Lonchura striata: one gene and its partners. The protein of the gene in region 3 interacts with the protein of the main gene of each other region in a biochemical or structural test. Links are inferred from orthologs where the notes say so. Each region holds a gene or a part of one and is shown on either strand. Other genes may lie near its edges.

Evidence for each region.
Region 1: the proteins of RAB5A (region 3) and OCRL form a complex in vitro, tested with the Homo sapiens proteins (2 studies listed by BioGRID and IntAct, with this or other methods). The link is inferred for Lonchura striata from reciprocal best matches to the Homo sapiens genes RAB5A and OCRL.
Region 2: the proteins of RAB5A (region 3) and APPL1 form a complex in vitro, tested with the Homo sapiens proteins (2 studies listed by BioGRID and IntAct, with this or other methods). The link is inferred for Lonchura striata from reciprocal best matches to the Homo sapiens genes RAB5A and APPL1.
Region 4: the proteins of RAB5A (region 3) and RBSN form a complex in vitro, tested with the Homo sapiens proteins (3 studies listed by BioGRID, with this or other methods). The link is inferred for Lonchura striata from reciprocal best matches to the Homo sapiens genes RAB5A and RBSN.

What each region holds. Positions count from the first base shown.
Region 1 is NC_134616.1:15,209,698-15,217,351, forward strand, and holds the start of OCRL (inositol polyphosphate 5-phosphatase OCRL), read left to right. Parts: upstream 1-4,620; 5' UTR 4,621-4,643; coding exon 4,644-4,676; intron 4,677-4,767; coding exon 4,768-4,847; intron 4,848-5,267; coding exon 5,268-5,347; intron 5,348-6,197; coding exon 6,198-6,236; intron 6,237-6,661; coding exon 6,662-6,772; intron 6,773-6,843; coding exon 6,844-6,927; intron 6,928-7,222; coding exon 7,223-7,343; intron 7,344-7,422; coding exon 7,423-7,584; intron 7,585-7,654. Other genes in the region: ERCC6L (DNA excision repair protein ERCC-6-like), read right to left, coding at 219-4,044, 4,203-4,258. UniProt on the Homo sapiens protein: Catalyzes the hydrolysis of the 5-position phosphate of phosphatidylinositol 4,5-bisphosphate (PtdIns(4,5)P2) and phosphatidylinositol-3,4,5-bisphosphate (PtdIns(3,4,5)P3), with the greatest catalytic activity towards PtdIns(4,5)P2.
Region 2 is NC_134614.1:12,166,986-12,174,548, reverse strand, and holds the start of APPL1 (DCC-interacting protein 13-alpha), read right to left. Parts: upstream 3,042-7,563; 5' UTR 2,980-3,041; coding exon 2,926-2,979; intron 1-2,925. Other genes in the region: HESX1 (homeobox expressed in ES cells 1), read left to right, coding at 7,471-7,563. UniProt on the Homo sapiens protein: Multifunctional adapter protein that binds to various membrane receptors, nuclear factors and signaling proteins to regulate many processes, such as cell proliferation, immune response, endosomal trafficking and cell metabolism.
Region 3 is NC_134603.1:120,168,277-120,175,459, forward strand, and holds the start of RAB5A (ras-related protein Rab-5A), read right to left. Parts: upstream 3,011-7,183; 5' UTR 2,931-3,010; intron 2,710-2,930; exon of another isoform or gene 2,474-2,709; intron 2,412-2,473; exon of another isoform or gene 2,351-2,411; intron 2,174-2,350; exon of another isoform or gene 2,153-2,173; intron 1-2,152. UniProt on the Homo sapiens protein: The small GTPases Rab are key regulators of intracellular membrane trafficking, from the formation of transport vesicles to their fusion with membranes.
Region 4 is NC_134614.1:24,096,980-24,104,862, reverse strand, and holds the start of RBSN (rabenosyn-5), read right to left. Parts: upstream 3,008-7,883; 5' UTR 2,909-3,007; intron 2,573-2,908; 5' UTR 2,507-2,572; coding exon 2,344-2,506; intron 1,087-2,343; coding exon 946-1,086; intron 1-945. UniProt on the Homo sapiens protein: Rab4/Rab5 effector protein acting in early endocytic membrane fusion and membrane trafficking of recycling endosomes. Required for endosome fusion either homotypically or with clathrin coated vesicles.

The DNA of each region.
Region 1 (7,654 bases), on a different chromosome or scaffold from region 3:
AGGAACCATTTTCACCTTTGTCAGTTGACTCCACAGAACACCCTCCCCAGGATCCAACACCTGGATGTCTGGGCTGTTTCCTCAAGCAGGAAGTGATGAATTTGCTCATTCCCATGAGTATAGGGCAGGCATCAGCCCGGAGCTGGCTCAGGGATCCCAGGGCCATGGTGCAGACCCACAAGGAACAGCCAGACTTTCTTCACAGAGCCACATACATGTCACTTCTGGGCCAGCTGTCGGTACAAGTTCAGAGTCAGCAGCATAACTTCAGGATCTCCACTTTTTATGTCAAGAGCTTGCAGGAAGCAGTCCAAAGCCTCCTGGAGTTTTCCATCATTCTGAAGCTTCTTCCCACTCTGTACCAAAGTGTCATAATCTGCAGCAGGAGAGGAATTCTGCCCAATGTCCTTTTCAGAGCTGCTTTGCTGGGTGAAGTAGTCAATCTGCTCATCTGACTGGAGCTCAGCGTCACCTGTGGATTCCTCCTGTGATGACTCTGCCTCGGACTGCTCAGATTCCACACTGTCTGTGTGAGAGGACTCTTCACTTGTATCAAGTGTTTCTCCATCAGGTTCTTCTTCAGGCTCAGCAGATTCCCCAGTGCACTCCTCAGCTTCATCTTCCACAAGCCCATCTTGCTCCTCCTCCTCCTCCTCCTCATCATCATCATCATCATCATCATCATCTTCTTCATCAGTGGTTCCCATGATTTCCCCAATGTCCTCCACCTCATCTACCAACCTGCTGATGAATGAGCGCCTGGAAGCATTAGACCTGTTTCCACTGTTATTTAATTGGGGAGAAAAGATGGCTTTAGCTCTTGTTGTGTCATATTTAGGGGTGGAAGCATTAATTCCTTCCAGACGTCCGTGCTGAATGCTATCCAAGGGAGAGGAGGGCACTTGTTCAGGCTGCTCTTCACTCTCACTGTCTGAAGAAATTCTGTTTAAGCGTTTCTTCCTACTAGAAATAAAGAGACCACTGCTTTCCTCCAATGATTTACTCTCTTGCAGGGAGGCATTTGGCTCTTCCTCAGCTGTGAGACAGGGTTTGCCATGGCTACTGGTCTCACTTGGCCAAGTTTTGTTTGGAGATTCTTTGTCTGGAGATTTACACAAGCTTTCTGCCTGGAGTTGTAAGCTCTCCTTCTCAGGGTGTTCCACTGATCCTCCTCTATTTGAGGCATCCTGCCATTCCTCTTCAGACTCTTCCAAAACCAGATTGAAGTCAACTTGATCCTGGAAAGAAGGAGCAGATGTAGCCTCTGAGCTGTCTTCTAGCACATGAGACTTGTAGAGCTCAGCATTGACTTCTGGTGTAGCATTTTTTAAACTCAGCACTGCAGAAGCCGGCTCAGGATCATTGTTCTGCTCTGTCCCCAGGGCACTGTGTGGGTCAAGTATCTGAACTGACAATTCTGCCTCACTTCTAGGATCAGCCATGCCAGACTGGGAGGAATTGTGACAATGCCAAGACAGGTCATTCCTTGTCTTGGCCGAGCTGTCTGAATGTACCTGCGAATGTTGTTTCTCTTGGAGGCTCTGACTCTCTTTCTCGAGTGCAGGGGATGATGGTATAATGTTAGATTCAGGATTTTGCTCAGATTCTTGTTCTGCTTGTTCTTGATCAGATTGTTCTGCTGTCTTGCTGGTATTGAGCACTTCTGTCTCCATACTGGACACACCTTGTGCCAGTTGCTCTTCATCCAAGTCACCAACAGTCAGAGTTGCCATTCTGGAGCTGACATCGAGCACCTGGGCTTCTTCGTCCTCTGTAAGATCAATAAATTTGTCTTTTTCTTGTGCATCAGCTACTGGTGGTGAAACAAAATTATTTTTGTCATTCAACCCTGGAGACAACTTCTTTGGCCTGGAAACTGATCCCGATGGTCTTTGCCACAACTCTTCACAAGTATTCCTGATCCCCTCCATCCTCTGATCTCTGAGCTGGGACTCCAGCTGGACCAGCTCATGGGCTTTCTGTACTCTCCGCTGGATGTACTGATGGGCTTCCTCGCTCTCCACCTGCTCCTCATGAGCCATCTCCCTTGTGTAGATCAGGTCGTGGTCAGAAATGCCAAACATTGCCAAGGAATGCAGGTAAGCAAGATGCTCATCCAGCTGCAGGTCAGACTTCCTTTGCATGGCGTGCAGGGACTGCAGCTGGATCTGAGTTGCAGATGTCCGAGTATCTTCCAATATGAAGAGCTCTCTTAGTTCCTGTTTGGAGAAATAACGGAACGGGTTCTTTTTGTCACCGGTGGTCTGTCTGATTAACGAGTCCTTGAATACCTGCCGCCTGTATATCTTCTCTTCCACGGTGCCGCAGGTGATCAGTCTGTAAATCACTACGTTCTCTTTTTGCCCAATTCTGTAAGCTCTGTCCACAGCCTGAGCATCAGTTGCTGGATTCCAGCTGGGATCAAAGATCACCACTCGGCTGGCCGCTGTCAAGGTTATGCCAACGCCCCCAACCTGTGTGGTGAGCAGGAAGACAGAGTAGGTGGTGTTGCTCTGGAAGGCGTTGATGCGCCTCTCCCGCTCCGTCAGGTGGGTCACCGTGCCGTCGATGCGCAGGATCTGGAACTGTCGGCGAGACAGGACGAACTCTATGATATCCAGCATCTTCCTCGACTGTGAGAACACCAGGGTTCGGTGTCCCTCTTCTCTCAGCCGCTCCAGCAGTCCCACAAGGAACTGCATCTTCCCAGACTCCTCGATCACAGTCTCATCAGAGAGATGATCTATTTTGTTCTTGCCTGCAAACATAACTGCTTCCATCCTGTAATCCTGCTCGGAGTCCTCCTCTTCCTCTTCCAAGCCCAGCTGGGTACAGGCTCTTGGAGACAGAAGCCTGGGGTGGTCACAGAGTTTCTTCAGGATTGTCAGCTCAGCCAAAGGTGATCGGTTCATCATCAGTACTTCCTTCACATGATCGAGGCAGAGAAAGTTCCTGTAGATTTCTTCCTGCACTGGTGCCAGGTACACCCACACGACAAAGTCATTTTTCCTAGTGAGAGATGGCATGACAGGAGCCTTGTTCTCACTTGGATCCTCAGAAAGAGTAGGATCAGCTTTATTGGTATGATAGTTTTTGATGTCTTCCTTGGTCCTTCTGAGGAAATAAGGCTTTATAATTGACATGAGATTCTCTGATATCTTTAGCCCCAGTGCTTTCTCACCTGGAGTCGCATCCTTCTCCCTCGCCCTGGTAATGGGATTCTCATACTCCATTTTAAAAGTTTTGGCAGTTCCCAGGAGGGAGCCTTGACAGGCAAAGTCAAACAAGGACCACAGTTCCCGGAGGTTGTTCTGCACAGGGGTGCCTGTAAGCAGGATGCGGTAGTGGGCCGGGATTGCATACACACACTTGGTTGTCTTGTTTGACGGGCACTTGATCTTATGTGCTTCATCAAGGATAATGTAGTCCCAGACAAACTCCTGCTCATGGCGGCTGGCCAGCTGCTTCCAATTGTTAATGAGCATCTGGTAGCTCGTGATGATGATGCCGTTCTTCCTCTGGACCCTTTCCAAGTTCCTGGTGCGCTCTGTCTTGCTGGTGCCATGGAACTCCTTGACGCGAAGGCCGGGGGTCCAGCGAGCAAACTCAGCCAGCCAGCTGCTGACCAGGGTGGTGGGCATGATGAGTAGGACGTGCTGGATGAGCTCGGCATCGAACATACCCGACAGGAAGGCAATCACCTGGATGGTCTTGCCCAGGCCCATGTCATCTGCCAGGATGCCGCCAGGCTTGCGCTCCCGGTGCAGGCGGTACAGGAAGGCAACACCTTCCCGCTGGTGCTGGAACAGCTTCCTGTGCATCTCCCCGTAGATCAGCAGGCCGCTGCCGCACACGTCCACGAAACCCTCATCATCCTCCTCCTCCTCCTGCTGCTGCTGCTCGGCCGCCGCCAGTGCCTCCTGCACCCGCCGCATGCGGTTCTGCAGCTTCTCGCTGGGGCGGATGGCAGCCGCCAGCCGGAACAGCCGCAGCGCCTCTTCAAGGTCCCCGTCGGCCGCCGCCGCCTTCGCGCTGGCCACGAGCCTGTGGGAGTCACCGTGAGCACCGGGTGGCCAGGCCCGGGCTGCACCCAGGAGTGCCGGCCCGGCCCGGCCCGCCAACGCCAACCCCGAACCCAACCCCAGCCCCAGCCCCAGCCCCAGCCCGCCCGCCCGCGGCCGCTCAGCCCCGTCGCCGCTCACCCCCGGTACCGCTCCTCTTCTGCCGCCGCCGCCTCTCGCGGCCCGGGAGCGGCCATGGCGCCAGCGCTGCCGCCCTGCGCTTCAAACCCGGCCCTTCCCGGCCTGCCCCGCGCCACATGTAAATCACCACCGCCCGCAGCCAATCAACGCCGGGGGCGGGCAAAGGGGCGGGGCCGAGCGCTGCCCGCGCCTCCTCGCGGGTCGGGGCAAACACCGGGACGAGCTCCGGTCCCGGCCGGTCCCTTTCCCGCCGCGCGGTGGGAAGCGAGGTGTGGGACATCCAGGGGGAGCCCGGCAGATCCACAAGTCCGCCCGCCCCCGGCGCACTCCCGGTCACGGGCGCGGGCGGCGGGACCTCCCGCCAGCAGGGGGCGCGGCGGCGGGCGGCGCGGCGCTCCGCGGCCGTGCGCAGCGCGGAGCCGGCGGAGGGCGAGCGCTGCCATGGAGGCGCGCGCCGCGGGCCGCGGCCTGCTCGTATCCACCGCGCGCGGCGGGCCGGGCGGGCGGGGGGCCGCGGTGGGGCGGGGCAGGCCGGTGACCGGAGGTTTTCTTAACTGCGGCCAAGAGCGTTGCTGGTGCGGAGGTGCGGGCCGGGCGGCGGGAGCCGTGCGTGCTCGGCCTGGAGCGGCGGGCCGGCCGCTACGGGTGAGTGAGTGCGAGCGCGGCGGGGCCCGGCTCGCCTCGCTCGGTGCCGCCGCGGCGGGGCTCGGTTCCGCGCCCAGCTGCCACAGCCGTGACTCTCGGCATCCCTGCGTGCTCCCCCGGCCGGTCCCCTCACCCCGCGGGACCGGCGCTCCGGAGGTGCCTTCCCGGCTCCCCGATGCTCCCCCGGTAACCAGAGCCGCTGCCAGCCCGGTGTTGGACCTGCCCCGTGGCAGCGAGAGTTCAGCAGCTCTTCCTTCTCCCCCGGGGTATCCGCGTCCTGCACGATCTCACCTTCGTTGCCTTTTTCAACTCCTGCCCCAGAAGCTTAGCGATAAAAATCAAACGTTGTGTCTCTGTACACACAGCTCCTGTTTGTGTGCGTTCCTGCCGGGTTTTTACAAGCCTTCCTTCTGTCTGCAGGGTGGTTATTCGCTCCCAGGAGAAAGAAAACTCTGATCCGGATTATATTCCCATCAACAGCCGTTTTAAGTGTGTGCAAGGTACTGACTGCTGGGGGGAAGGTCGAGAATCCCCTGCTGTTGATCCACAAACCTTAAATTTAATGGTGTTTCCTGACCTGTCTCCCGAGCCACAGCGGATTGAATCCTTTCTCTGTGAAGCAGCAAGTCACATTTTATGGCATCCCCTTGTTCCTCATTCAAGCAGGTTGTCATTCCATGTCAGCATGAACTTGTGAGGAACTTGGCTGGCTCCAGTGCGTGGTGTGCTTGGCATCACACAGAGCCAACACATGCAGCATCTGGTTTCAGGGTCTGGAATTTGCTGTCTGCTGGTGTCGGTCTCTCAGACTTCTCTGCTCTGCCGAGAGTTGGGAGCTGTTGCTTTATCCTGCATGTTTACATCTAAACTTCCTAAGGTCTACCAAGCTCTCAGCATCCCACGTGCTGAATGAGGAAGGGCTTTAGGCCTTGTTTTGGAAGAACTTAAATAGCAGCAAGTGGTCCTGGGGCAAATCTTTGTAAGGAGTAAAAGTCCTTTTTCCTGAATTTACTCATTCCCTTGTGTGCAGTTCAGGATGTTCTGCCCCTGATTTTGCTCTGTAGAGAAGCTCTGAAGTTCCTTGTCAAGTTGGTCTTTCCTGAAGTAGCTGCACTGATGGGGAAAAACCAGCCAGATGTATGAGAACTGTGTGGTGGGAATCTCCCTGCTGGGAGGTGACTGTCCAGGTTCTCTCTGCCAGAACCGTTAGGAATGTACAGATGTAAATTAGAGCTCTTTGTTCCTGTTAGGACTCTCTCATGGCTGGCAGCAGGCAGTGTAATTATATGAGTCTTCAATTACTGCAGCATCCAGCGTCAGCTCTACTGATCATGTTTTTCTCTTTTCTAGAGGCAGAAGAAACTCTGCTGATTGATATAGCTACAAACAGTAAGTTTCATAAGGGTAGTGGTGCAGCTAAAGGTCCTGTCATGGAACAGCCACTGGTGCTTGTTTTGCCTTCCAGTCTTCCCCCAGGCTCTGTGTTTGTCCTCTGCTCAAACAGGGATTGTTTTCCCTCTGACATTGTCATCTGGCTCTGTGAGACACTGGCTTGTCATGACAGACAAGGTTTGAAATGCAAATGGTCAAAATGTTTGCAGTTATTTTCCTGCTTTTAGAGCTCTTGTTTTCAAAATTGCAGTAGGGAGGATTCCTAAAGCCAGGATAATGTGCTGGGGATATCCCAAGCAGTGTGGGGGGACCTCAGAAGTGCAGGGAGGTGCAGGTTTCCAAAACAAACAACACCTGGAAGCTGGGTGGGAAGCCTGGGGGCTCTGAGGCAGCCTGGGCTGACTCAGTGAGTGTGTTTGAAGCAGGCTGCAAGGTCCGGATCCAGGGTGACGAGGCGCCGGAGCGGCTCTTTGAGATCCCTGACGAGGAGCGCTGCTTGGGATTCCTGTCAGAAGTGCAGAGCATACAGGAAGGTGAGCAGAGTCTCCCCTGTGCATGTGAAATCCTCTGCCAGCAGTGACTGACAGGGATGGATTTTTTCCAGCCCACCTGAAAGCATCTCTTCCTGAACCTAAGGACTCAGCCATTTGGCATCAGGTGGAGAAGAGCCTTACAGGTCTATCTCCAGGTACAGTTGACTTTGCTCCGGGGCCTGTGCAGTTCTGGGGTGCCAAGGGTGGGATCTGGGTCTGGCCATGCTTCCTTGTCTGTTAATTCCTTCCTGAGTGCTATTTTCACCCTTGGTTTGTGTATGTTGAGCTTCCTGCCTTGCCTTGTGGTTAGTGCCCCTTTCTCCCATTTCCAGGGTCACACAGTTGATGTATTCCTACTCTCGTTTGGTTTTTTGGTTACATTTTTTCCTTCTTGATCTGAGCTGTTTCAGATTGTTTCTCAGGGTGTTTTTCTTGGATTTTTCATTACAGGAGCTCTGGGGTTTGAGGATGACTTCAACACTCTGAGCCTAGAAGAGAAAAGAAACATGCAAAACCACCAGACGGGATCTCGACGGGAACCCCCACCTCCTCCTGTCCCTCAGAATAAGCAGTAAGGGATCTGTTCCCTTTTTTACTTTTCTTCCTAGACAGCAGAACTAGTTCTAGTGCTGCTCTTGCTTCCTTCCTAGATTTCACCGGGAGAGAGAAGGCACATCCAGAGACCAGCCCAAGGTGACCAACACGATGCGCAAGATCTTTTTGCCCAGCACACAGTCGGGGCAGAGAGAGGGGCTCATCAAACATGTGCTGGCCAAGAGGGAGAAGGCCTACATCAACCTGCACAACTTCAGGTGAGACCTGGGAGGGAAGGACAGAGCTGCAGGATCTCTCCTGTGAGCTTGGATCTCACCCAGGATTGGA
Region 2 (7,563 bases), on a different chromosome or scaffold from region 3:
AGAGCCACAAAGGAAATATTTTGGCAATGTTTTAGCAAAAGGACCATGCTTTGTTTCTAGGATTACACTAAAATTTATGTCCAGGAAGAAAATTTAAATAATCATAAGCACATAATTGATTTTCCCCCCAAACTATGATTGTTAAACACTTGAAATTGGAAATTATATTTTTTAGTCTACTCTAGGCTGTCTTGAAATTACTGATATCTTTAGTCCATCTCCCCTTGAAGCATGAAGGCCTTTTTCAGCTATTTCTGATTTTTTGCTTTTAATGATAATCAAAGAGTACATATTAAACCCATATAAAGTATATTTATTTAACAATTCTTTTGACATAAGATATTTTTATCTAAGTTGCATTATTAAATACCTGGCTGTATCACAACTACTGTCAAGCTATAGAACATCTAAAAGATATTTAAACATTAAAAAACATCATCAGCACAATAAATAGCTTTAATGATGGTTCTAATTTATAAAAGAAGTGGAAAGAGGTGGAGAACTCAAATCTTTGCCAGGTGTGGCAACATATGACATCCTAACAGCCTTGACTGCGCCATTAAGGTAGACATACACGAAAGAATGCAAAAGGAAAAATTACATGGTACTATAACCATTGAATTATATACTCATGACCTTTAAACCTGAACATAAATAAACCTAAGCTTGTAATTTTAAAGGAGTATTATGTAAGGTTTCTAGATTATGCTTACTCTTTAAAACTGAACATGGAAAAAAAAATTTTATGTTTTACTTTAAAAATGTCTGTTATTGATGCTCAACTGTTAAAACAATATCATATTATACTAATGGAAAGAAATTAATCTGAAACTGTAAATACGTTACAGCAGATCACTTGTATTTCTAGTAAAACTCTGCATCATTTGGCATTTTCTTTCAGTGTCTTTCAATCCGTGTTTGTGAGCAAGCAAGGAAAGGACCAGGAGAAGCTGCACGATGAAACCCCGCGTTAGAAGTCAGCTTTAAGCTGTCTGTGCCATCAGCTGGAGGGCACTGCAGGTGACAGGAGACAGAGCCTGTGCTACCAGTCTTTTGGCTTGTTTGTTGTGCAATGCTTCGGGAACGCAAATCAGTGTGAGCAGAAACTCTCCAAATACACACTGACTTCCTGTGTAATACATGTCCTAGGTTAATAAGTAAATTGCCCTGTTTTGCATAGCAAAGACTATGTAAACTTGGCGTTTGGTTTGGGCCTGACAAGCACAGTGGTTAGATTTTGATCCTGTGACAACAGGAAATGAATGGGTTTGGACATTTTGAAAAGCCTTTCCCTCCCTCAGACACAGAATAAGTTTGATATGGCGTTTATATACCTACAGTCAGTGTCTGAAACAACAACTCCAGGCCATGGTGCAGCACTAAACAATCACCCAGGCTGATGGGCTTGGCAATATTCAGCATGAATGTATTCAAGTCATAGCAACTCCTCTAGAGAGGCTTCTGCTTTCTTCAAGCAACATTTGCTGCCATTTCCACCACGTTGACTTCAAAGTAACAGAAATTAACTAATGTAACAAATTAGTTAATATAGCAATTAACTAATGTAACAGAAAATCACTGAGCGCTTACTAGAGAACCCGGCTCCCAGAATTCATCTGAAATATTAAATTGACTGAAATATGTAAATTTTCTACCTAAAACAAAAAACAATATTGACAAATCCAATTATTTAAGCATCTCAAACACAACGGGCTGAATTAGCCTTTGCTTGTCTGTATCACAACTAACCTCACATGGAAGATTCTAGAATTATAACTGCATTCCAATAAGTAACATTTTCTCATGTGCTTCCCAAATGTTCTCAGATAGTCCTAAATTCATGTTACATTTGACATTTCCTATAAATACGAATAGTTCTGACTTCCTCATACTAAGAAAAGACCTTCCAGAGATAATTTTTTAAAATCAGTATTATTATAAGACTTTCAAAATTTTTTCCTCTTCATGAGATGACAGCAGGTTTGGCCCCTGGACCAGAACCCAGATCTCATCTCATATTCAGCATTTGAGCTATCTGGGGCACTGTCCTTGGGAAATCAATGACTCCTTTTGTGCATGGCCTTCTCCTGCCTTTTTAAAGTCATCCTTCCACTTGATAGAGAATTGTTAAAATAATTTTAACTTTAGGGACTAAAGTTCCCTTCTTAACAAGCGAAAGTTTCTCTTCCTGTGAGCAAGGAATTAAAACTACCAATGCATATGCTATTGCAATAAAGGACACCCTGCTCACAACGTAAACCATGCACCACAACAAGGATCTTAATTCAAAAGGCTGCCATAAAAGAAAACACATTGCAAACTTTTCCCCACATCTAAGAAGCACAGCACAAGGACCTGCTGTTGCTGCTGCCAACAAGAGAAACCAGAGCCACTGAATAAAGCATTTCCTACTTTAGAAAGAAACTCCAGTGCTAGAGAGCATCGCTGACACAGATCAGGCAGCAGCTACGCAAGAGAAGAATCGGAGCAGGAGAGGCCTCCGGGCACCGTGCGCTTCCCACCGCCGCGACAGCCTCACCCAGAACCGCTTCTCACGCGGCTCCATTAAACCTTAACGCGCCTTAGCGAAAAACAACGAGGAAAGATCGTTTTGAGAAGGCGACACGGGTTTTGTGGGCACGAGGTGTCCGAAACGGAGCCTGGGAGTGAAGCGGGGGTGGGGATCGGAGCCCCGCTGCCGGCCAGAGGCGCCGCGGCCCCGCAGCCCCCGGCCCGCGGCTCTCCCGGGAGCTCAGCGGGCGCTCGCAGGACGCGGCCGCGGCGGAAAGCCCGAGCCGAGACCGCCGGAGCCCCGCGGGGCCGGGCGGCAGCTGGGGCGTCACCCGTCCTCCCGGCTCTCCCGGGGCCGGGAACAACACGGAGGCAGCGCTGGCCCCGATACGGCCTGCGCTGGGCCGGTCTCACCTGCGGGCTGTCCTCCAGCGTCTCCTCGATGGGCAGTTTGTCGATGCCGGGCATGGCGGCGACCGCGCTGAGCGCCCGCGGCTGCGCTCCCCCCGCCAGCCCCGACCCGCCCCCGCGCGCCGCGCGCCGGACGTCCCGCCCCCCGCGCGTCCCGCTTCCCCATTGGCCCGCCCAGCTTCCCCGTTGGCCCGCCCGGCTTCCCCATTGGCTGGCGAGCCTGCCCGTTCGCGCGCAGGCGCGGGGGCGAGGCGCTCGCGCTGCCCCTCAGGCCGGGGCTGTCGGGGCTCGCCTCCGCTGAGGTGGCTGCCGGGACTAAAGTCCTGCCTGCCGAGCAAAGCGTCCTCCCAGCCCTGTCTGTGCTCCGGGGGCTGCTGGCGTCTTCCCACAGACAGTTACCTGGAGGGCCGCTCCACAGCAAGGGAGCGCTGTTGGGTCCCTGCCGTTCTGGAGCGTCTTTGGCACTCTTGCCATGTTGTTTGGAGCACCCCTTTTGGCAAGTCTCCTCTTATCCCCGCCATGTGGATGGGCCCCAAGTGGACGCCATCCTCTTCTACTGTGCTTGCAGTGAGACGCCAAGAGGCCTTAAGCTGAGACAGGAGAGATTCTGATTAGATGTTAGAAAATAGTATCTCTGCTCTCTTAGACTGAATAGTTGTGGTGCCATAGGTTGGTGGCAAATTTTAAATGCATAAAACTACTGTGAGGGCTCACTGTAATCAAAACAGATCATTGGTTGGACTTGGGAACTGGTTCAGCTCTGAAATTACTTCGAATTGTAGAATCCTTAAGGTTAGAAAAGACCTGAGATCATTGAGTCCAACCCTTAATCCAGGAGCCCGTGTTCACCACTAAACCACGTGCCTGTGCCACATCCTCACATCTGGACACTTCAGGAGTGGTGATTTTCAGTGCCACCCTGCCCATGGAGAAACTGTTCCCAATATCCAGTCTAAACATTTCCTGGCACAACTTGAGGCTGTTTCCTCTGGTCCCGTCCCTTCTTGGACCTGGGAGAAAAGAATGATCCCTATCTGGCTACAACCTCCTTTTCAGGTAGTTTTAGAGAGCAAGACCTGGTAGACTTGATGATAGTTCTTATCTGGCGGGAGAAAAAAAAAAAAAAAAAAAAAAAAAAAAGGCTATTCCCTTGCTGGTTTTGCCTTTTTGGGGCCAGGTGAATTTAGTGAAGACCAGATTAGAAAGCATATTAAGTATATTCATTCAGCAGAGCAAATGATCAATTATTGTGGTGCAGTCTTGCTATGAGACCATTCTTTATGTTGTATCAGGTTATGATTTACCATTAAAAGCAGATAAAGGACAGGACGGGTGTGTTAAATTGCAAACAAAGATTTTTGAGGTGGCTTTTGTTTGTTTGTTGGTTTGGGTTTTTTAGGGGGTGGTGGGTGGTTTTGTTTTTGGTTGTTTTTTTGTTTTGTTTTTTTTTTTGCTGTTGTGTTCTTTGTTTTTCCCTGTAGGGAGTAGTAAAGAAATTTCCAATACTGTTCAGTCAATTAATTTACCAGCTCAGCTGGTGACTCACCTGACTGAAGCAAGTCACAGCACCTCTCCCTTTCCCTGTCAATAAGGGTAATAATTCAGTGTTATCTTACAAGGTGTTTAACAGACTAAGTCCTGTCATGGACATTAACATATCATGATGTATATATATTTGTGCTTTCTGGTTTTGAGACAGTTAATTTGTGACCAAGCTTTACAGCAGTCTTTACAGCAATAAGAAATTACTTTGTTTTGTACTGTAAGATCATTTTCCCAGTGGAATTCAGGAGGTAGTAACTTTAAGTGGGTTTGGTTTAGTTCGCTTTGTGTATTTACAGCTGTGAGTGGCATCCAAGAGTTTTACTTGAGCTACAAATTTGACTGCAACAAATGTAAGAGTAATGAGTTGAAGAATCCCTCTGCATCCTCTAATTGTTGTTTTAGTGTTACACCGTTTTCAGCATTGTAGACCTTTTGTTAGTGTGAGTGGGGTTTTTTATTGTTTGGGCTTTTTGATTTGTGGAGTTGGGTTTTTTGTTTGGTTTGGGGATTTTTTTGGGCAGTTGTTGGTTTTTGGTTGTTATATTTTGTTGTTGTTGTTTTTTCTGCAAAATATCTTCTAAGAAGCCTTAAAAATATGGAGAATTAATACTTGGCACTTTGTCAACAGAGAGAAGAGCAGTGAACATGTCTTCAGAGGATTCCAGAGGTGTGCCATTATGGGGAGAACATTTTGCCTCTGCTGGAGGGTGAAAGTAGCTCTGTGGATAAGGTAGGTTTTATTTGCAACGTTTCCCACTTTTTAACACACTTTCTTATACTTTTGCTAGTGGCAACCTTGGATTAACCTTGAATTTAGCTGCATTCACTTAATCTTCCTGTGTCAAAGTAGCTTTTACTTCAAGAAATAGCTAACTGCTTTGTTTTGTGAAAATTGGTGTACTGTTTTGAGGTATTCTTGCTTTAAAAAAACTTGGGAATTCTGAAGTTGGCTTTGAAAATAATACTTGTTATTTGTGTTAAAAACATATTTGAAAAAGAGCTTTATTGCAGCATGACTTCTGAGGTGGTGAAATACTGGGTAAAGAGGTTGTGGGAAAGGTGAGGTGAAAAGTGAATTTTTGGAGTGTGATAAGTAATCAAGAAAGATAATATATACCATTTATACCCTTTTAAAAATCTGAAAATGTTGCCCAAGCTCTAGGGAAAGGTGACCCAGCAGTGCAGTAGCAGTGGTGAGAAGAGCAAAAAGCAGCAAGAGTAAGAACTGGGCCTTCAGACCAAAACCCCAAGAGCACTGGTGTGGTTTCCTCAGCTGGAGTAAACAGCTGGTGGAGGCTTCCCATCTCTGGAGAACGAGACTCCTTCTCCTAAAGAGATGAACTCCACTGTCCCTGGGTGAAAAACAGTGGTGCAGAGTCTGAAAGGGAGATTAGTTTCCTGCCTCATCAAGTATGTGATGCTGTAAGAGGATTGGATTTGCATATCCAAAGGAGCAGTGCGTTTTCCTATTATTGATTACTTAGGATTCCCAACTTAATGTTTGCTGTGTTGCTCTAATTACCCCTACCAAGGTATTTAGTTAAAGTCTATAGGTAATTTCAAATGGGTTGCAAGGTAGTATTGGTCAATACTAATGGGCCAAACAATGAAATACAGTTTCCAAGAGAAGGCTTAAGGTCCATAAATGGTGACTGGAGCTCATCTTGCAAGCGAAGATTGCAGGCGGATGCATGCTGCTTCAAGATCCATTGATATGTGTGAGAAGTGTCCTTGGTAAGATCACTTCTGGAGTTGTCACTCTTTTAATAGTTCAGTTTGACAACAATCTTCCTGCACAACACAAAGTCAGGCCAGAAGGTGGGGTTACTTTTCCTCCCAAAATAAAAATATTGTTTTCATTTTTGCCTGTTACTTTTGGACAAATCTTGATTTTATAGTGTCTCTACAGAAATTCCTCCTTTTCTTGTCCTGAACCAAAAGCTGGTTTAGAGCATGTGATGTAAACTGCTGTGTGACTGACAGTTGAGCTTGAATATAAAAATGTTATAGTCTGTATTTTATTATAATGGATGAAATCAGAATTCTGTCAGATTTCATTGCAAAGACTTTATCTCCTTTCTTCCCATTACTCATAATTGTTTTTATGATTTTAAGTGTTGGCTCCGTACGATTTAAATATGCTTCTGTTTGCTATAAACCTACAAGAAGGGAGAGACATCAATGAGAAAAAGCATGCTTCTAAACCTGTAAATTTGAGTGTACTACTTCTATTACTTGAAACTTTGCCTTTATGTAGTGAAGAATTATCAGGAAATTTCATATCTGCTATGTTTCAAAAAGGCTGCAACAAAGTTATTTTAATAAGAAAAATGAATGCATGAATTATTTAAAATAGTTGGTGCAACTGTTCCTATTAACTAATCCAGGCACTTGGAAGGCAATTACACTGAGCTTTGACAACACTGCCAACCCACTGCACAGTGCCTTATGCCAAAAGCTATTGTTGTTTTATTGACCACGTTCACCATTACATATGCATATGAAAAAACAGAGGCATTTTCATCGGGATTACCCTAATAGCATTAAGAGATTATTTTTTAAATTTCCTTGGAAGGAAATTCACTTAAATAAGATTACTTATTACTTGACTGGTTTCCTATCATGCTTCTATGCTTAGGTAAGTGGAGTCCATTAGAGTATAAAGTTTTTTAAAAAACTGATTTTATACATTAATGATTTCAAATAAAAGAGAAGTACTATATTTGTGCACAGCTTCTTTTGAGAAAGTGAAGTCGATGCTCTGGTTAGGAGAGATAACACTCTTTGTCCCCCTTGGTGGCCCCCCTAGTGTCACCATTAGTTGCTAATTACTTGCAAACAAATAAACAATTAACTCCTCGTGCCTCTTGGTGGGAGAGTTTTCATTGACATGCTAAAACTTTCTAATAAAAGATTTTAATTAATGACGTTACAAATCCAACCCCCTTGTCAACATGGCTATAAGGAGGACTTGTGGAGAAATGCAAGTACAGTACTCCTGCTATGCTGGCTGAGGGCGAAGGCATGGCCGGTCCCTCGCTGTGTGCTGCCACCACGGCGGCCTCTCCGGACCTGCACAAGGTGCCCGGATTGGGA
Region 3 (7,183 bases):
GATACATATGGGAGTTATGGAAGTGATCTACTAGTATAAAAATCTGCTAAAGAAAATACTTTATGTGGGAAATGGATTTGTAGAGATTTCTTAGGGATTGACAGAAGGGTTTACTTTGGAGAAACAGAACTATGAAAGATGCACTGTATTGGGATGCACGAGGGGTAGTTTTAGATGATTGGCTTTAAGGCATCTACAGCATGGCGTGACAAAAAGCTGATAGGCCAAGAAACACTTATGGTCTATTATAATTAGGAAATAGCTTCTGATTGTGATGGTGTGAATTATAATAACTGTATTGCCTCACCGTTCTCATGAGACTGAAAATGGAATAAAGGTTTTTAAAATGCCTCTCAGTTGCCCCAACTCCAGGTCAGGAAAAGGGTATTGTCCAACAAATATAAAATTTTTTGAGACAGATGGCTTCAGATGGATGGAAATGAGGGAGATTTTCTTACTTTTATAGAGTTTAACATAAAAACTCCATTTTGCAGTCTTGGGCGGTATAAATACATAGGTCACTATGCTAAGTAGGAACTTTCACTCTTCTGAATATCCCCCCCATGACTGAGCAGGTCCATGCTGAAATGCCAGAACACAAAGCCTGGAGTATATTATGAGCTAAGTACTCCTCATAATCCCACCAACTAATTTACTGTATGCTGCATATTCTCCTCACTCCAGAAGAGAAATTTGTATGCTGTTGGACAGTCTGAGTTTTATTTATGAAAGAGTACTAAGTATTTTAACAGATCAAACACAAATCTTATTATGCTTGAGCCTCTGTACAAAATACGAACAGCCCCAGCCAATACCCACAAACCCTCAATTTAATGGCATAATTCAGTCATGCAAGCTTAAGCACTGGACTATTTCAACTACAAGACAGCTAATAAGAAGTATCAAAGTAACACTGGTGACAAAAGCCAGCCAGAAGAGATTAAGACAGTGAGTACTGTTCCTACAACTAATGTGATTAAACATATTATCAAATAGAAAGGCCACAGGAAAAAATTCATGATAAATTTAAAACTGGAACATTCCACCACTTTTATATGCCATAGCAAACAACACTGTTCTTACTGCTAAACTTTTGTATGCTGCATTAACAGACATAAAGCATACAATGGTGAGGCTGCAACTATTATCTACTTTAAATTTTTTTATACTGGACTTTCTTGAATGTTTTAAAAGTCAGTAAGTAAAAAGCCTTATGCATTAGCCAGTCCTACTAACTGAATTTTTCTTCTAGGTTCAGCAGAATTAGTGTGATACCTTACTGTAGTGTTCAAGACAGTGACAGGGACAACCAGCAAAATGCTTGCAATATGTAAGCCAGTTTACATAGAAACATAATGAGACTAAGTTAAACAAGTGCATCAACACAGTTGCTGCAAAAAAATCACAGCCCTACAATTAAAGGTATTAGCCATCTCAAAAGCTCATCTGAATGATGAATGGTAGCAATTGCTTTCAGATAAACTGGTTTATCATACAGGAAATGTAAGTGATGACTACAATACCATTGTCTCTAGTTACCTCACTTCAGCCAACATCTACCTCTTCCTGACATTTCTCATTATGGAAGAACAATATCTACAAGCAATCTGTAGGTAAGCATGACTGTAATTCTGAACAGACACTATAAAACTGGAAAAAATAAAAAATACTACGATTTTTACTTTGCTTGAATGTTATATGAAAGAAATGTATTAATTTCAGCTGCTTAATTTGCTGTTTAGCCTCTCGTTACCATCCTCAAGCTCTTAAAGAGGTATAAGGTAGAAAAAAAATCATTACAAATGCCGAGCGAACAGCCTTTCATGGCCCCGTTTGGAACATTTTGATACTTCTCATGCAATTCAGCTCTTCTCTAAAGCACAAAAAGCTTAGGTTTGGTCCTCCACCCTACCCCAGCTTTGTCTAGTTCCAATTGCGTGCGATGCAGAAGATACCCAGCATACTAGGCCTGTTGCGATCCCCCCGATGGCGACGCATTTTCGGGAGCATTTTACTTCCCACCTAGTTCACCGTCCTTCTTCCAGACGCAAGCGAAAGGGAAAGCGAGGGACCCACCACCCAACCTCCCCTTCCATATCTCACAAGCAACTCGAGGGGCACAGCCCTGAGGGCCGGCCCCAGACAGCGATACCTCTCCGCAGGAGCGCCCGCACATAGGGGAGGATCCCCGCTCTCCCGGGCCCAGCCCCTCCATCCCCCGCCGCCACCTCCCCTCCCCCGCGGCTCCCTTCCAGGCGCAGGAATAAGGGGAAGTGGGAAAACCGGGGGCGCCATTTTGAGCCGGGAAAGGAGAGAGCAGCGTCCCCGCTCCGCACGCCGCGCTGCCCACCTCGGCCACCCGTACCGCGGCACGGCGCTCCCGCAGCGCCGGGGGAGCGGCTGCCGGCAGGAGCCCGGACGAGGCGCGTCTCGCCGCCGCCGGAGCCCCCCCGCGCCGCCTCCGCCTCCTCACCTGGCCGGGCTGGGGGAGCCGGGGCGGCGGCGCAGCGGCGTCCGTCCGTCGGGCGCGTCGGTCGGGGCCGGCGGGCGCGCCGGAGCAGGGTGGGCGGAGGAGGGGTAAGAGGGGAGGCGGCTCCTCGGTGGGGGCGAGGGGCGGGGGCGCAGCCGTGCCTCACCCAGCCCCGCCGCCGACTTCCGCCGCCGCCTCTGCCCCGACCAAAACACGCTCACACACACACAGCACGCACTTCCGCCGCCGCCACGTCACGCCCGCACGCGCCGTGCCCTTCCGGTGCGCCCGCGCCACGCGTCACGTGGCTCCCTTCCCTTCCCACCTCTCCCTCCTCCCTTTGTTCCCGCTCCCGGCCGAGCCGCACTCGGCTGTAGGGTGTTCCCTGTCTCCCGCTTCTCCCCAGCGCTGCGGGAAGAGTCCCTGGGAGCGACCCGCGCCTCCTCCATCTTCCACTTACGGTGGGGGTGGTGAGGCACTGGAGCGGGTTGCTCAGACAAATGCAGGACGCCCCATCCCTGACAGTTTCCAAGGCCAGGCTGGGTGGGGCTCTGAGCAACCTGCTGGAGTAGGAGGTGTCCCGGCTCAAGGCAGGGGAGTTGGGACTGGAGGATCTTTAAGGTCCCTCCCACCCCAAACTATTCCGTGAGTTTCTGCCACCCCGAACTATTCCGTGAGTTTCTGCCGATGCTTCAGGGGGTGCACTGCAGCCTGAGGAGGCCACTGAGGAGCGCGGGATGGGAGCTGGGTATCACGCACACAGACAAGTCCTGGTTTAATCCTCTCAAAGAACCAGTTTCCAAAGCTATTAGTCAAATGAATTGAAAGGAGGAACTACATAGGAAAACCTGCATTGCCATCGGGAATTTACCTTTTTTGAGCAGTCTCTGATAAAGCCCAGAACAAGTCTTGACTGCTTCATAGCACAAAGCATGACCTTGTGAGAAAGCAGCATAAAGGCCACTTGGCCACAAGCTGTAAGTGGGTTGTAGTGGAAACAACAATAATGATAAGCATTTCTTCAGTATAGCAGCTTTAACAAGGTCTAAGAGTTGGCATTTTAAAGAAAGAAAGAAACAAACCAACTTGTAAGACATTTAGAAAGTGTATCAATAATGGTATTTGGTAATTGATACAATTTAATGAAGATTGTTGAGATACTCCACCACAGGAAATAATCAAATTGTTGCATTCTCAAAATATATTTTTTATTTCAACCACATATATTTAAATGAAGCAAAAATCAAGTTGGGTAAAGCCTGTGGTTTGTGTTACGCTGCTTTCCCCTTCCTTAGTATCACATATAAATACTTGAACATACTGAAGTGAATGGAATGAAAACAGATTGTTTTTTTAGTCTTCATCAGTTCTTCTTTTCCATACACTTTTCCACTGGTACCAGTTTGGTCTCAGAGTAACAATTTCCCCTTTCTCCTTTATTAAGTTGAAGTTAATCACTTAACGTAAGTGCATTGTGAAAGGCCAATATGTAACTTCAAAAAAAGTAAAATAGTCTGCATTCACCAGTGATGTAGAATGCCAGACTAGCTCCAGAGAAACATGTTTGTTTAAGTAAAGTATACAAACTTTTTTGAGCTGTGAGTTTCCTAAATGTTTGTAAGAGTTGTCCTTTAACTCATGTAATCCTGCCCTAGTACACTGCTTATTTGCCATAACCCATTGACTGGTCTCAATATGTTCAACTGGATTGCAGGATTTGCTGAGCAAACAGCAGATTCCTGATAACCAAATGTGTTTTACTACACACCTGACATGCATGCATTGGAGCACCAGGCACCAGCATCCAGTCAACCTGGCAGCCACTCACTCAACTCACTCACTCACTCGCTCACTCACTTACTCACTCACCTCATTCACCTCCCTGCAGTAAGACAGAGAACATAACAAAAGAACAAAAGCAGGAAAACTTGTGGGTTAAGATAAAGACAGTGTGATAGATGAAGGAAAGTGGAAGTTAAAAGGCAAGGAAATATCTGGCTACCTCCCATAAGCAGGACAGTGTCAGCCTGTCTCCAAGCAGCAGCCACCTTGGAAGACAATCTCCTTTGTCTACCTCCATTTTCTATTGCTGATTGCAATGCTGTGTGAGATGGAATATCCCTTTGATCAATTTGGGTCAGCTGTCCTAGCTGTATTCCACTCCCACATTTCTGGACCATCAGCAGCATTTCTTCCTGGGTGGGGCTGATGACAAAGTGGGGAAAAAGAGAAAGTCCTTACTCTGTGCAAGCACTGTTCAGCAGTAGTTGAGGTACTGCTGTGTTACCAACAGTAGTTTAGTCACAAATCCACAACACAGCACCATTCAGTCTGCTATGAAGAAAATGAACTCTGCCTCAGCCAGACACAGTACATACATGAACAGTTTTTGTGGAAAAATATCACACTGAATCTTTAGAATAACTTGAACTAAATTCAATTTAGAGATTAAACACATCATACATGACATTTTGTGTTTCACTTAATCCTATAAAATAAAGGACCATACTATTCTATATGTAAGGATCATTTTCTATGCTTCTAACATAAATAATAATTCTAATATGAATTCCATTCATAAAATTGAAATAATATTTCAGATTGTCAGATGTATCTGAAGCTCAAGGCTAAATGAAATTTTTTATGCAGGAATTCTATTCACATGATATAATTGCTGTTAGGAAGCCTGTTTTGCATGCAGGAGGTTCCTGCTGGCTAACTTAACTCTCTGACTGCAGGGCAGAGCTGTAGCATGTCTTTCTCACTTTGTGAAATGCCTAAATTGTTCTCATGTGGTTGATGCTGACAGAGTAGGACAGTAAACACCAAAGGTTCACTGTGAATGTGTGAAATATGTGAAAGAGAGGCATGAGAGAATGTGGCAGTAATCAAATGACCAAGTTCCAGCTACTGTATTTCAGGCTTGACAGGTCTCTGTGGGTTCTAGTGGTGAAGACAAGTTTCTTATCTTGTAGTCTGCACAAAAAGATGTTGAAGGAAAGCTCTGAAATCACACAGATAGCCCCTACTTGTGGTCATGTTTTCATATTTTATTTCATCATGGTTCATATATCACATTCCAAAAGTGAAACTGCTGGGTGATATTAATAAATTTATGTTGGTTATGTTTTCACCAGGTGGCTTTCCATCTATTTTAGCATTTCTCTGCAGTTTATGTGCAGAATCTCTTCATTGTGTTTGAACTTCCCCCCCTCTTTTTTTTCCCTATGACATTCTTTTTTTCAGTCTCCTATCTCTACTTGTGTACATTTTCTCTGCACTTATATTGGCTTGCGTATTGCATACAGAAAGCGTGCAGCACATAGAAAACAGTAATTTCCTATCTGTAAATGTATTGAATAAGAAACTATGAAAGCAACCAGGCAGTAACAGTGAAGTGCATTGGCATGGCTGATGTAATTCAGATGTTTCACAACATTTGGAGTGTTTTACATGAACTCCTCTGGCCTTCAGAGACCTTCAGGAACCTACAAACTTAGTGTTTTGACTCTGGTCTAGGCCAGCACCATAGTCAGAGTGAGAGCTGTGTTGCAGAACATGGGGTGCTTGCGCTTCATAAAGAAAGTAAAATGCAGGAGTTTAGACAGTTTCCATTCCTCTGTTTTAGCCTAAACAACACAAAAAAATGCATGAGCTTGTGGGAATTGGATGTCAGAAACTTGTGAAATGTCAAGTACTGTTGAGGAAAAGAAGTGCTGCTGTGGAATGGAAAATTTTGTTCAACTTTTTCCAAACAGCTTTCTCTAGAGATCCTACTTTTGACATAGGAGATGACAAATTCATGCTTAAGTAAAGAAAGTTTTAATCTTTTTTTCCCATAAAATTGAGTTCAATTGGTTTTTGTTAATGCTTCATCTTATCTTTAAAATTACAAGTCCTTCCTACTCCACAAATGTTCTTTCTGTGGCCAAAATAACTTTCAGTATAAGAAAGAATGGATATGACACTGATACCAGAATGAGAGGAATTATAGGAAGGAATGTATATTGTCAGTAGGTTTCAAATTGATTTATAGGGACCCATGTTTCTGCAAAAAAGGAAAGAAGCATAGAGGCAAAAAAAAAAAAAAAAAATAGGCTCTACTTGTTTCTGCAACAGGCACTCTTTTTACATATCCAAGTCCTATTTTTATGCCTTAACACAACCCACTCCATTGGGGCTGAGTGGATGATTTCAATTAGCAAGTGTGGCCACCTGCTGGGGAAAAAACAAGGTAAAAATAAATCAGCAATGCACAGAATGTATAAAAATGGTACCACCTTGAGCACAGGTAGAGAGCCATCTAGAAATACAACAAACACAAAAATTCCATTTCCTGAATTTTATTCTGGGATAAAAAAGTCCCAGTTTCCTGTACCCTATAATTACCATCTAATTTTTACACTACTGTACTTTGCTCTCCCTCTCCATAGATCTCCCTTCTGACAACTTTACTAGATAGAAGTTTAACCTTACAGATTAATGGATCACAAGACATAACCAATAATTTTATTTATTAAACTACCAAAAATTATTGTTTTATTTTGCAGAAATGCTCTAAACTTCAGGCAACAACAAATATAACTGAAATATGAAAAGAACTGAACACACTAAGACTTTATGAGAGCTTCTTTAGTTCCCAAGTGGACATGGATATTCCATACTAGGTGTGTGATGCAGCCACGTCTACAGCAAAAAAACACATAACTTCTT
Region 4 (7,883 bases), on a different chromosome or scaffold from region 3:
CAATCCCTTTCACTGATCCATCAAATCACATGCCAGATCCCTATGGTTCATCTTCTCAATGCTCATCAGAGAGCAGTCTCACTTCTATAATGTTCATAAACCTTCTCCCTAAATTTATTCTTAGCTAATATTTACACTATGATTGCTGCTCAAATAGTTACAAAGTCAAAAGTAAAGAAATATACAGAACTCAGACCCTGCAGACCCAAAGGACTTAGTCCCTAGTCTGTCAGCACCATAGTGCAAACTATCCCAGGATCCACAAAAGATTCCTTCTCCAAAAATAACCATAGTATTTCAGTCATAGTACAGGCAATTGCCAATAGCAGTATTTGTAATTACAGGCTCATCCTTTACAGCTTATCCTTGAAACTCTACAAATGTAGATTTATATTCAGAGCAGTGGAGTTTGTTTATTGTTTGTTTTTTTAATCTGTTTTTTTTTTAAGTAAACCCCATTTTAATAAGAGGTGATTGCCACCTCAAATCCAAGGAAAAAGCTGACAGTTTAAATTGTTAGATAATGTTTTTGTCAAACATGCAAACTAACAACTACTTTAAGTGTAGCCCAAAAGCTAGAGATTTTATATACTTATAACTTTTAATGAGTGGATTATCTTTTTTGTAAAGTGACAAGATGAAGCTAGTTGCACAGAGGTAAACACAGATTAAGCAGATCTCAGCAGGACAGCAACAATAACATGATTAACAGCTCCCTGAAGGGTAGTTCGGGTAACGACTCTATACATGTCTTTTCTTCTCCCCATTAACTGTGTTTTCCCCACACTCCACCCAAGGGATCGGCTGCTCAAAGAAAGTGTGCAAACCATAACCCCCTGCTAGCGAACACAGACACAATTCCAAGCCACTTAGGCAATACTGTAGCACTTTCCCAATTCAGATCAAAACTTATTCCCACTGTGTATTGCTTTCCAGTTCTCCTACCTACTTCCTGGGGCTCCCACATGTATGGATCTACTCCACCATAGCTGAATGACTCATATCGTTCCTGAGATCCAGAATCAGTTCTGTCATCATCTTGTTTCAGCAATTTCTTCTTTGCTCTTTTGGCCTTCTGGACTAGATCTGAAAAAAATAAACCCAAGTTATCTGACATATCAGGTAGTCACCAAATATTTGTCATGTGAAGCCAGTATATTCATCTTCTTTTAGCAGAAACCTTTCTTCTGGATAAATTTATCCTCAAAACATTCTTAGAACAAAAATGCAGTTCAGAGCAACACAGATGACACAAAATGCTCTCTGCTGTCTGTCATAAAGCAGCATGAGGTCCTAAGGACAAGACAGTAGATTAAAACATTCCATTGTCAGACTTCACTGTAAAACAGCAACATGTCTTAAACTATGGGACCTATCTCACTGCACAAAGCATCATATAGTTTTATCTTAATTCTCAAAATTCCCTATTATTTTCTTCAGATTCAAGGACGTCCAACACATTCCTTGTTTTATTGCACAAGCTACCAATTTCAGTGTGCTTGTACACATAAAGACTTTTTCAAGTACTAAACAGCCCAGTGTTAGGGTTTCACCACGAAAATTGGTTAGTACTTCAAAAGTCTATCTCAAGAGAAAAACAAATCAAGACTGCGAGGCCAGTACTTCTAGCATACTAAAACCAGAGTTTGCAGGAAACATAGAGAATTATCGCCAGATTTTAAACATTTTAAACATTCTTCTCTCAATATAAAATGACATTGTATACATAAGGGGGGTAAAAAAAGGGAAATATCTTAGTGAAACAAAATTCAAAGAGATTTTCCAAATACTAATGAAGGGTGGAACTCCCTAACAGATATGGAACACTCCCAGCACTTCCTGCTAGTTCCACCACCCACATGCTTTTCCATGTTTTTCCAATAACAACCTTTCTTAACTTCACACTTTAACTGCAACCACAGCTTTATCTACTGTCAAAACAAGAGATTAATGAACTGGAACCTGGTAAGTACCAGAGATTCCCCATATTCTCCACAGTCTTCAAGTAAATCTTGGGTATTCACTGGGTTAGTATAATTTTGAGTTTTCAAGTAAAAACAAACAAAAAAGCCTAAAAGATCAACAGTAAAACTCGTGCATAAAAGCAGACATTTGTAGAGCAATGTTCTTTAGCGCCTACTTTAGAATAATTTATGGGAAGTATCGGGAGAAGGTTAGTACTATGCTTGGCCCAAGGAGATTTACGGAAGAATGGAACTGCATACCTCGCCTGTAAGTCCCTCCAATTGATATTTTATTATTGTCAGACATTTGGGAGCACTCGAAGTACGAGCAGGGATTTCCCACGGCCAAGCCGAACGCATTTACCGCGGCCGCCCTTACTTCGGAGTTGCGCCCTGACGTCCCGGTCTTCGCCCGGGTGCTGCTCCTCGTAGTGCGCCTGGAGCTGCCGGAACGCCTGGAGATCCTTCAGGCACAGCGGGCACAGGAAGCCCTCGCGCACTTCGGTCGGGTCCCCGAAGGCCGCCGGGCAGCCCGACGCCATCGCGGCCTCGCCTGCTGCCCTCACCGACTGCAGGGATGCGGGGGCCGCATCGTCCTTAGGCACTCCCTGAAACGAACCAGGCCAGGGCCGTGTGACCCGCGGCGCAGGATGCGGCGGGAAGGGCCCGGGCTGGGCGCGAGCCCCTCCAGGGGCTTCCCGCCGGGCCCCCGCCCGGTTCCTCCAGGGGCTTCCCGCCCGGTTCCTCCCCGCCCGGTCCCTCCGCGGCCCGGCCCCGCCCCGCCCGGGGCAGGAGAGAGGCTGCGCAGGGAGATGAGCGGGGCTTGAGGCGATCCGCCCGCCTGGGGAGAGGCCGCTGAGGGCTGCCCCGGCTGCCTCAGGGTCCGTGGCCCAGCGGCAGCCCAGGGACGGCCCGGGAAAAGCCTGGGGCAGGGCTCGCCTCACCTCAGCGCCCGGGCGGCCGGTGACTATCTCCAAAACAGGGCGGCCGCGGCCCGGCCCGGCTGCCGGGAGCGGCAGAGCGCGGCGGAGGGCGGGGCGAGGGATGAGCCATGGATGGGAGGAAAGGGCGGGGAGAAGGAGGGCTCGTCCGACGCCGCGGGGAGGCTGCCGAGCGCAGCGCTGCCGCTGGCGGTTGGGAGGCGGCAGCGGCAGCGGCGTCTCTGCGGCCGGCGCTGGTCGCCGTGTCCAGCCGCCTCGCAGTAGCCCGGGGTAACGAGCCCGCAGAGCTGCGGTGACAGAGTCCCCTCCAGGACGGGACGGCGCTGTCACGTAGGGGACATGCGTCCCTCCCCGGTGCCCTGGGGCCGTTCCCATAGCACTGGTGGGTCTATGCTGTGTGTCCTAATCGCTGGGCACGTTCAAGAGGAGCACCGTTGCCAATGTCAACACGCTCAACGTTCCCTTTCCCAGCCTACTGAACGTTCCTAAAGGAAGTGTCCCAAAACTGCAAACTAGAGCATCCGGTGACGTACTTAGCCACAAAGAAGCCCAGGAATCCTACTACTTGCCTCCTGACAAGGAGCTATGTAAATCAACGGCAGGGCATTTTTCGTGTCCCCTTTCTGATGCCAGCTTTTGTTTAGTCTGAGCTGGCAGCAGTCCCTTCTCTCACACACTCCCAATCAAATAGAAACAATAGGAGTGTGTAATCACACATCGGCTTCGTGTGTTAGGATTAAAGCTCTTGGAGGCAGAGATTTTCTTACGTGGCGATGCTATTTACACTTGAGACCTGTCCATTAAAGGTGGACTTTGACTCATCATGCCCTGCACTTCTACCTTCCATATTATGACCTTTAAAACCTTTTCAGCACGGATCGTGATGGGGTGAGGAAGAAAAGAAGCAGCCTGAGGCTCAGTGTCTTCGATGATTCACGTGCTGTGGTGTCATCCCCCTGGATTTGCTGGAGCCGGGTAGTTTCCTGGCGGTGAGCCATACCTGTGCCACACAGTGGCACCAGCTGCCTTTGTTGTTCCTTGCTCCTTTTGTCCTCAATTGAGGCCAGTGAGCTGTAACTCACTGAGTAGTGGAAGAACGCTACAGCGATACACGTCTCTAGAAGAACTGCAAGAGCCATGTAGGCGCAGAGCTCTTAGGGAGGTTTCTGTTGGTGTTTCAGTTTTCTGGTTCCTGTTACATGCGCGCGATTTGTCATGAGCGTGTAGGGAACGGGCAGAAAAGGGGGTGGGTGAAGGATGGGAGACGTGGCAGTCACTAGATGGCGCAACAAGCACGTCTGAGAGCAGCCGAGGGCCCGTGGCGGCCTCGGCCGTGCGTTACAGGCGTTTGCTGTAAAGGTTTTTCTCCTGCCTGTGTACTGTGAGCCCTGCTGACCCGGGTAGTCCATCCTCTCTTGCCGTTCCCAGGTAGTAAAAATCAGGTATGTAAGGAAAAGCGAACTTGTACAGAACAGCAACCCTTTGGTCAACCCTGTCTCTCCACAGCGTCAGTAACTGCTCTTTTTCAAAAATAAAGTGCTAAGGATAATTAAAATGGTAAATAGAACAATTGAAGTGTGGTAGCCTCCTGTTGGGATACAAACCATGCAGTGAGGATTGCCTGCAGTGAGTTGTGAGGAGGATGATGGCATGCTGGAGTGTGCACAAGAAATCAAACATTTCACTGTATCTTCACTTAATTGTGCTCCTTTGCATGTTTCATTTGACCACAGATATGAGAACACATCTCACCAAATTAATCTTTTTCAGGTACTGATAAAACACCATGTGGTGTCAATCACTCTTGAAAAGAGAAATTTCATTCTACATTTTTAAAGAAAAATGCCACTTGTTTGCCTGTTTCTGAATATAAGTGGACTTTATCCCTTCCTGAGAAACATGTTCCCCATGAAATGACTGCACCTGCTCAATATGACTTGGGTCTTTATGAGGGTATTAGACTTACTGTGAATATCTTGGAGACAATTAGAGAACTGATACTACAAAATTATGCCAGATGCAGTGATATGTGGAATGGTATCAGTTTGCTCCCAAAGGGAAAATTGAGCTTCTGTGTCTCTTAACAGATGTTGAGCATGATCTAGTTTTTGCTGGTGTAAACAAGAAGACTTTGGCTGCTGTTATTTGGTCAGGCTCATCACACTTCCCATACAGAGAGTGTCTGCAAAGTGAAAACATCCAGATCAGTCTAAAACGATTCAGTTTACAGTGCTTCAAAAATTAATTTGTCTTCATCCAGCTAGTTACAGTAGGAAGAGGTATTTGGGGACAAATTAAACCTTACTGCAATTCTACAGGTTCTCTTTGAGACTGCAATTGTATCAGTAATGGCTCACAGGGAATGAATGCAAACAAACAGTAGTGCAGAAGTACTCTCTCCAGCAGCAAAATCAGACCTTTACTGCCCATCCTGGCACTGGGATATAAAAGCTCAGCCGACAAACCCTGTATTTGTTAGGTAACTCCTCCTCTGATGCAGTCAAGGTCCTCTGCAAACAGTAAGAAAGTAAGTGGTAAAATATGCTTGTGTGATAACCCTTAACTGTGAAATTTAAGACCTGGTCTGTTGCTAAATTGGTAATTGCTACTGATGTCCAGGAGGAGAAATTTCAGTGGGCTGAATTTCGGAATACAGCTGAGAAGGGGGGCCCAGTTAGCCCTGTAGCCATGGCACAGCTCAATAAGAAATATGTTCCAGTTGGGTTCATCTGTGTTCTTTGACTTCTTGTAATACCTTCAGTACAATTTGGAATGTTTAATAATGGAATTGGACCTCAGTATAGGAGAGGTAAATACAAATGATGCCTGTCTACTTCTCAGGGTATTCAAGTGGGATGTTTTTCACAAACATAGTGGAAAAAATGGTTTAAAATACCTGAAATTTAACAGCATTGAGTTCAATATAGACTTTCTAAACAGAGTGTAAGCATAGTGAAAAATCAGACTGTTCTTGGGAAAATCAGAATGTTCTTTGTAAATATTCCCTAAACAAAATAGTCACTTAATTTAGTTTAATGTTGTTTTCTAAATTTGCCTAAATTCAATTTCATAATTTAATGATAGTTTTTTTTAAATTAATTTCAAATTTCCTAATATTGAAATGGATAGCACAAAACTCAACTGATTATGTTAATGATCTTTGATTTTAATTTTTCAGAGAAGATGTTTTTGTTTGTTTGTTTAGGTGGATCTAGCCTAAAATTTCCTGTATTTTTCATTTTGTTCAGAGAACTAAAATTGTTGCTGTTCATTTTACCAAAGCTCATATATTCAATATACTCAAGTTACTTATACTAAACATTTTGATACATAACAAATCTGTTTAATTAGTCTGTGTAGACAGGCTAGAAGCTACATTTCCATGCCAAATCCATGGTTTTTACTGTGTTTGCAATCTCATCAATCCAAATGGTTTGTAAGAGCAGCAGCTGACTATTTATTGAGACCCTTTTATCTGATTTGTTGATTAACTGCTTTGGTACCTGCAAGCCAGTCATCATCTCAAGTTTATTTGGTCCCTTAACACTGCTGAATAATCTGTCATATTGGTCCTGAGTGCCATGGAGTGGCAGCACTTACATAAAGTATGTAAATTATAAAGAAGAGAGACGGGAGGATTCACAATTCCTTTGCATTTACATTTAATTTAATGATTTAACTGCAAGAGCCATACACTGTGATGTCTGGATTCCATTCAGGGCTCATTTCAAATGTCAAGTACACCACATTTGGGTGCTGTCTCTTCTAGCCTCTCATCTTCTCTTTTGTCTACAGACTTGTGCAGCAACCAATGCCCTTCTTGAAGATGGCATGTCTAAAAGCAATAAGTGGAATACCCCCACCAGTTGGTATTTGACAGGGAATGATTTATGATTTTTTTTGTAGGGTTGTTGTTGCTCTCTTTTTCAGCACCACTTGCTTGTTCAAAGAGATTACTTTTTGTCTTGACTGTTTTGGCTCAGAAAACCCTTCATAAATTCTTACTATATTTTTCATTTGTCTTGACTTTTCTCCTCTTCCTCTTGTTTTTTCACAAAGCTTCTTCAGACACTCTACACAGTACCAGCTTCAAAATCAAGAGGGAATTCAAGGTGGAAACATATGATTCTCTGTGAAAATTACTTTAAATCAGCAATCATATTTCAGGCAGACTCTTAGATCACTTCCCCTAGTTGTCTGAGTTATAACCTAACATTTTTCCCTATAATAATCAGTCTATGCTGCATCATATGAATTACCTCCACTATAGAGAGAAGATGGCAATGAACTAGCTATGGCATGTTGGATCCTCGTTTACCTGAATTCCATTTTGTAGGAGTATTTGTGCAATCTATGAGTCCAGATTCCCCCTCTTTCCAATGCATATGAACAGGAAGAAAGTCAGGAAATGTTAGCTATGAGAAAGGTGTTACTTCAGCCAACCCTTCTGTGACATACTGCTGTCTTGTCTGGATCACCAGCTGTCAGTTTAATCCACAGTGTCTGAAATAAGTTCAAGAGCTGATTTCACCTTTTGTCTGGGATCATTCCATTGTATTGGTATCTGACATGCCCCATCTCTATCAGAAACAGGTATCCTGCTCTAGCATACTAATACAATTCATGATCTAGTAACACTCCTTCAGCCAGTGTTCCTTCCATCTCATGGAAGCAGACAAGGTCAATTGGCTGGTATCTGACAAATGTCCTCTCCTTGGTTTCCTTCTTAGTACTTTTAAGCTGTATTGGTTTCATCAAGGAAACAAAGCACAAATGTCTACACAGAGGTCTAAAAGTAGTCTTAAGGCAGGTACATTAGCTCATTTTTCTCAAGGAGTTTCCCATCTGGTTTTATTGAAGGTCTCTCTATCCAGCCTTTCCTCCTTACCCTGCAGAGGTGTTCATGCTGTTCTTGGCAGAAGGGGAAGTGAGGCTTCTGCACTCCCATGCTTATAGTCCACATACCCATTTCCTAGAA